Linked DNA regions of Caenorhabditis elegans. The protein of the gene in region 2 purifies or fractionates together with the protein of the main gene of each other region. This does not show direct contact. Each region holds a gene or a part of one and is shown on either strand. Other genes may lie near its edges.

Region 1 (4,115 bases), about 14 Mb from region 2:
CTACCTAGCAGCAGTCTATAGTCTAGGAGTTGGTTCCGGGGAGGTTATAAGTGAGTTTTGGACAATTTTGGGGATTGTTCAGTGAAATTTTTTTTGATTTTACTAAATTTCAATTTCAGTTGGACTAGCGATCTCATTCCTCAGCAAGCGTATCAAAGATTTCGGGCAAAAGCCAACTATGACGATTGGCGCAATCTTCATCACGATGTATTGTGCCATGATCCATATGTCTACTCCGTACGATGCTCCGATTAGGCCAACTAGCAAGGAGCCACTTTTTTTTGGTCATTCGTAAGTTTAACAGGTTTTTCTTAGTAAGTAGCAAATTTAATTTCAGCTACCTTTTGGCCCTAATCATAGGCTTATTTTGTGGAATCGGAGATTGCTGTGTAAATAGTGTAAGATCAGTGATTTGTGCGTTGCTGATGCCAAAAAGAAGACCACAAGCGTTTTCAGTGTCGAAGATTTATCATGTAAGTTAACTGGCTTGAAAAACTGGGGGCGTTAAAACACATACTTGCCTGACCTTAGGGCGACCGAAAGGCCGGCGTGAGGCAGGCAGGTTCTAGGCAGTCGTCAGGCCCTGAAACCGCGCAGGCTTACCATGGAAGACCTACGCATAACAATTTTCCAACTTATGTACATTAACGTTCTACCGGAGCCACCTAGAAACCATATTCCAGGCTTTTGGATCTACGATTCTATTCTTCATGAGCCCCATCACACCACTCTACGTCTACACAATCGGCCTGCCAATTCTCGCAATCATCGCCACAATTTTGTTCTTTTCCATTTCTAAAAGAACACAAATTATGGAACGGAAAATGACGGAGGCTAGCAAAAATGCTGCAGAAATTGGAAAGAAACTTAATTTTTAATTTTTTTTAAAACAATTTTGAAAATGTCATTTTGTGTCGGGTAAACCTTGAAATTTTTTTTGAGATGATGAAAGCTTTAAATGTTATCACACACGTTATCACCTATTTTTTTGCATTTTTGCGGTAGTTCCGTAGATTTTCGAATTTTTCACTTAATACTTCCAAACTTAAATTAATTTAATTTGTTCAATTTTTTTTCGAAATTTTAGTTTTTGAAACTTCGAATTAATCTCCAATGCATTTTTCTTGCAGATCTGTCCTAGGAGATCCGTTTCCCACTCTTCCGAATTAAAATATTATATTTTGTTTGATTCAAAAAAAGAATGCTGGTTCTGATCTTTCGATCATTTAACTGATAAGCGGTTTTCTTGCGAAATTCGAAGTTTAATTTCCGAGTTATCAGTAGAGTGTGTGCACGTTGCTTTTTAATGGGATGTAAGTTGTATTGGTCTTTTTGGAAAAAAAATACAAGAGAAATGCGAAAATCTACATCCTACAAACACTAGGAACAACGGAGGCTAAAAGGTAGGCAGCTAGTCGTGATAAGGTGCCTGCCTACCCTGGTGGCCTCTCGCCGATTTATTCCACCTTATCACACTTATGTTGAAATTTTAATCTTTTTTCTGATCACCACACCTCCTCACCACCCCTCATTTTATTACTTTACATATATAAGGTAATTCCCTTGGACACATTTCGTGACTCAGTTTCAGTTGTGAAATTGCCGAATTCCAAAAAAAAAAATGACATTTTTATCAATATTTTTAATTTCTGGTCTATTTCTGTGTGGCTCCGCTCAAAAGTTAATGAGCTTGAGCTCTTTCAAAGGCACAAACGTGAAAAATAATTTCAAAGCTCATGCACCGTACAATATTTATGTGTCCGCCGACTCGGACGCTGAATTTATTCTGCAGCAGATTTTCGTGATTACCGGAAATGAGCAGAACGTAACGTAAGTTTGAGCGTACCGACCAATAAACGAGACGCAGGTGGCGGGGCCATGACCTCTAATTGGTCAACTCTAATCGCGCGCCAGTTTTGATCTACAAGTCATGTTAGCTCAAAATCGTAACTTTTTTTGGGAAACGCTCATGTGATGTTTTCGAAAAAATCGAATAATAGTTATTAACTTAAATAAAAATGCTTTTCAGACTCCTCGATCTCAAAAAAAATCTTCAAGCTTCCGGAGAAATCACTGCATTCCCGGTTCAAAAATCTGCCTATATTACGACAACACTGAGTGATAATGAATTGAAAACACTTAATGGAGTGATTTATCTCAGCTCCAGGAAACAGCGAGCAGACAGTGAGTTGTATTTTCTAAATTGCCACTTTAGATCCTTTTTCCAGCCAATTTTCACGTTTACGGTGTTTCTAAATCTCCAAACATCATCCTTAGAGGAATGGGAAACTTAAACACCACAATTTTGTTCCTTAACACCATTATGGGAACGAATCCGTCTTCAATCATCAGTCAATGGAGCCAAGACTCTACCGCCCACGCATATCTGTACACTGATTTTCCACTGGATACTGCAGAAGAAACTAATACTCAAATTTTCTCGAACCCGATGCATACTGACAAAGCCGATTTGTATTTTGCAAATGTGGAAAAATTCTCGTTGAGCCTAGTAGCATTCTATCTGAAAACTTATCGAGGTGTCAATTTCAGCATTGAACCAGGATACTGTAAGTGGAATTGAGATTAAGGTCGCAACTTAAAAAAATGAATTCATTGAAGACAGTATTGATGGAAAAAGAACATCAGCCTTCACCACTACTGGATTCTATATGAAGCCCCTGGCCAGAAATGCTAGTACCATAACTGTTAATATCAAGCGAGATGTTAGATATTCTGGAGCTTCTGGTGCAAATGTAAGTTTCATTTTGATACCAAATTGTGTGCTCCAACATCGACAACTAACTCCCTACATTTAAAAATTCAGCTTCTCGGACATGTCCCAAAGCGGGGAAAAGTCACAGTAGGCTTTTATAACGGAGATTCAAAATATGAAGAATCATTCCCTCCAAGTTACTATTTCTCTCCATGGAGCATCCCATATATTGACTTTGAAACTTTCAAAGTTTCATCCACATCCTCAAACTCAACTGCTGAATACTACTTTGTGCAATATTTTGTCGCTCGTGAGTTGTTGTTTTCTAGATTTTTTGTAGTTTGAGGTATTCGAAATTTCAGAAGGTACTCTGTTCGGTAGTCCAACTTCAGGGCCCATTCAGACGGCAACTCAATCCTCCGGAGTCGTCCAATTATTCGTGTCAATGGCTATTTCAACAATGTATTGGCTGTAGCTTTTTGATGTTGACATTTATGGCCCAATTATAATATTATTGATGAAAAACGATGAAAAGTATTTCAGCTCACAATTGCACTTTAAAATGAAACATTTGTAAAATTTTGAAATTTTGCCGATTTGCCGGAAATTTTCAATTCCGGCAATTTGCCGAGTTGCCGACTTGCCGGAAAAAATCGTTTGCCGTCCACCCCTGATCGCGTACTAAACAGACCAAAAAAGTTCAACAAACCAAAAAAAATGTGTGAAAAATTGCACAATTCTCTGAAAAACGTCTGTCATCCTTTCTCCGCCTTCCGTTTGAACTTGTTCAGCCGATTATGCAAAACTTTTTAAACTTGCCTATTAATTCAGCCTAGAACTTTCCAACTTTCCGTCACCGCAGTTTCCACTCTCCGCAAATTTTCGGTTCAAAGTTTTTGAAACTGATATTTTTGTAAAAAAAAATGAATCAACGGCGATTCGAACTATTATGCGCAGCATTGCTCGGCTTCGGTCAGCTGTGCATAATGACTGGATTCGATTCAGAGTCGTTTATTCTAGAGTCTGTAATTCATTCGATTCATGAGAGAGAACCCGCAAAAATCAGCATCTATGCTGGGTATTATGGGTGAGTGGAAAGTTCAACTGACCAATCATTGAACATTTTAAATGTTATAACTTTGGTTTATATGTACCAACAATTAAACACAAAATATTTTCAGCCAAGCCGTGATCTATGCCTTCTACATGATAGCTTGTCTATTCTCGCCCTCCATAATAGCAGTGAGCACCCCGAAAACCAATTTGATAATTGCTTCCATTTTCTTCACGGCATTCCCTCTGGGCTTCCTGTTCACCAACTCTTATTACTACTACGCTTCGTCAGCATTGCTAGGTGTTGGGTTTGCCTGTAAATTCCTATATGCTGAAAAGTTATCGAACA
Region 2 (3,225 bases):
CTAGAATGTTTGCCCGCTCTCAATATAACTTTAAAAGTCTGTCAATGACAGGTTTTGGAGAAATTCTACAAGCGTAGAAGGCAGTGAGTTTCAATTGGAGAATTTCTGATCAAAACTAAATTTTGTGTGAGTCTTGTTTACTCTAAAGTAAGCTTGAACGAAGTTAACGTTAAGTTGGGCTTGTTAAAGCCGAAGTACTGGTCATGGGGCTCACAAAAAGATGATCAGAGCTGAAGTCAGTTGCTCGGCAAATTGAGGAGGTACCTAGGTGAGGAGACAGTTATTTAGTGTCATTACACATGTGTAAAGCCACTCAGTAGACCCAAAAATTTTACAATTTCTGCTTCCAAATACGTTATCCGGTCTTGCCACGACAAATTTTTAATAGTTGCGATGGGGTATGCGCCTTTAAGGAAGTGGTAATGCAATTGGAAATGAGTAGGAATTATTATATGAAATTAAATGTATTTTCACAATGAAATTTAATTTTTTCTGAAATCGAAAAAAAAATTTGATGGTGCGTTTCTAAATTTGAAATGATTTTTTTAAAGAGTTTTTTTTTGCGTTGTTTACATTTTGAGCTTTTCTGATTATTTTTATAGATGTTATCAGCAAAATGATGACAAATAGTTGGTATAAATAAGGAGGAAATTGTCATTCAAATCACGATCAAATCGATCCCAACAACTCTCCCAAAAACACCTCAAGATGAATGTCATCTACACTGCCGTCCTTGTTGCTTCAACTCTCGCCTACACTGCAATGGCTTGGATTGGACTGAGCATTGAAGCCGCCAACGAGGATATGATCTGAAGTGGCAACTGAGCCCTAGCTGCTAATAGTGACCTATGTTTTTAGTCTCACAAATGAAGGTTTATGTGTGGTGTTTTTTGATATTAAGTTTGCACGTTTGTTGCAAAAGATGGTAAAGAAAAATGCAAAGTATAGAGTTTTGCTAATTTGAAAAGATTGGAGACGTCATCATTTCCGCTTTTCAATTCTTGCTCATTTTGCTGAGGCACGAGCTTCTAATTGATTTTCGCGGAAGGACTTCATTTTTACATCCAAACCATTCACAAGAAAAGGAAGTCAAAGTAGTATCAAACAATACCTACATATTTGGAAAAAACAATACCTATGTGGAAGCTTACGCTTATAGTTAGACTAGGCTACCACGAAAATTTCAGAGGCGGTACTAAACTCTAAACCCCGGAAAATTCGGTTTGAAATATTTTTGAGTTCATTTTTTAATTTATTTGGTGACCATAGTATGCCTCAAAAAGTGGTTTTTGTAAGTTTTCAATAATTTGAACGATGCTTGGTAATAGGCAAACATTTGGATTTTGTTATTATTTTTTTGAAAAAAAAATCTGCAATATGCTCTCTTATCTTCAACTAAATTTAAAATCGTTGAAGTTTATTTTCAAAAAACTGACGTTCTACTACGATTGTCATCTCTATATGTCCTCAAATTAAAAAAGAGTTTCTAAAGAATTTATGAGAAACTGTAATAAAATTCAAACTCTTTAATTTTATAATTTTCTTAAAATTACCTATTTAAGTAGATCCAAAATTCACCGTTGAATCCGTCGTACTATCATTCACATTGGAAAAACTGAATTTCACGTTGCTATTTTATTTTTCTCGAAAGGTCACAATTCACAAGTCAAAGTTTGTTTTGGCCATTTAACGTTTTTCTCGTTATTTCTGTAAATTTGGCACTTTGTAAAATTTCCAATAAAATGCTCAATTCGTTCAAAATCACAATCATAGAGTGTCTTCAATTATTCACATCGTTACTTCTGCTTTCAATCTTTTCATGTGCACAGCGTGGCTCTTCAAGGTAATTTTTTTTGTTTGTTTTCAGACTGAATTCTTGACTTTCAGAGAACGAAAATCCCAACGAGGAAACAGTGATATTTCAGTATCACAAACACAGGTGTCAGAACGACCATCAGAGCGCGATCAGAAAAGGAGTGAGGTTAGTCAAAGGAAGCAAAGGAATGATGTGTGAGTGAAGTTGGTGTGAGGTGTAACATCATGGACTACAAGCTACAAATACTACTAACTACAGATTTTTCAATTGGCTGAGAAATGAAGTCAGTCATGTCAAATCCTACTTTCAGACAGGACTCAATCCGAATGTTCCGTGGCCGAAAGCCCCCTCAAAAAGGAAAGCCGGCAATGGAGATAAAGTCAGAGCGATCAGATTCACAGCACACGCTCACCATCACTGTTCCACTGGGAAAAGCTTCAAGGTAATAATTGCTAATCGAAATGCAAATAAATTATATTTTCAGAAACGATCAACCGCCTTCCAATTTGACTGAGGAAGCCGCGAAGAAAGTCGCCGGAACTGGAAGAAATGATGGGAAAAAGGTGCAATTTGCTGAGAAGTTGGTGAACAAAACAAAATCACCATCAACTGGACCGTCTACGTCGAAGAAACTACAAAAATCTCAGAAAACTCAAAAATCATCCAAAAAGTCGCAGAAAAAATCGAAGAAGAGTAAGAAATCTTCAAAAAGTAAGTGACATACATACAGACACTAATTTACAGAATCGTTTTTAGTTTTCAGAAAAATGAAAGAAGAGTTTGGGTGATTTGAGAACTTGTACTTTTGATAATAAATGATTTTGAATATGTTCAAGATTGAATAAAATTTTGCAATTTGTTTGAAACTGTTCCAAGTATATAATAATTTCAGCTGCAATAAAAATTATAATTCGATTTTTTTTCTTGGTTCGCATGTAAAAATGCACATTTTAAGGTCATTTATTTTCTGAGTGGATCTGAGCAAAGATTAGATTTTACTTCTCATGCACTACGGTTTTTGGAATCATCAATTTTTCATATTGTCTTTTCTACCATTAAGTTTTCAAATTATTTTCTTGAAAATTAAATTACCTGAAACATGCCCCTATTTGTTCACAAGATACCCTATGCCAACAAAGGACTTTTCAGACGTCTGACAATCACTAGAAATTCTTGTTTCCTAGTCTTCGGTCTTCTAGTTCTTCTCGCTTTCCCACATTTATATATAGTAGGAATTATTATATGAAATTAAATGTATTTTCACCATGAAATTTAATTTTTTTTTCTGAAATTGGGAAAACATTCGATTAGGCGTATCTAAATTTGAAATGAATTTTTTAGAGTTTTTTTGCGTTGTTTACATTTTGACCTTTTCTGATTATTTTTATAGATGTTATCAGCAAAATGAT

The links.
Region 1: the proteins of ZC412.9 (region 2) and dod-20 fractionate together in Caenorhabditis elegans (co-fractionation; one large-scale study listed by BioGRID). This does not show direct contact.

Annotation. Positions count from the first base shown.
Region 1 is NC_003283.11:420,877-424,991, forward strand, and holds dod-20 (Downstream Of DAF-16 (regulated by DAF-16)), read left to right. Parts: upstream 1-1,556; 5' UTR 1,557-1,621; coding exon 1,622-1,830; intron 1,831-2,029; coding exon 2,030-2,184; intron 2,185-2,228; coding exon 2,229-2,567; intron 2,568-2,619; coding exon 2,620-2,753; intron 2,754-2,824; coding exon 2,825-3,023; intron 3,024-3,075; coding exon 3,076-3,188; 3' UTR 3,189-3,301; downstream 3,302-4,115. Other genes in the region: Y39D8A.1 (UNC93-like protein MFSD11), read left to right, coding at 1-50, 120-291, 338-473, 684-878; B0554.5 (UNC93-like protein MFSD11), read left to right, coding at 3,637-3,800, 3,895-4,082.
Region 2 is NC_003283.11:14,880,627-14,883,851, reverse strand, and holds ZC412.9 (uncharacterized protein), read left to right. Parts: upstream 1-1,742; coding exon 1,743-1,843; intron 1,844-1,887; coding exon 1,888-2,010; intron 2,011-2,126; coding exon 2,127-2,258; intron 2,259-2,300; coding exon 2,301-2,535; downstream 2,536-3,225. Other genes in the region: nspa-7 (Nematode Specific Peptide family, group A), read left to right, coding at 709-813.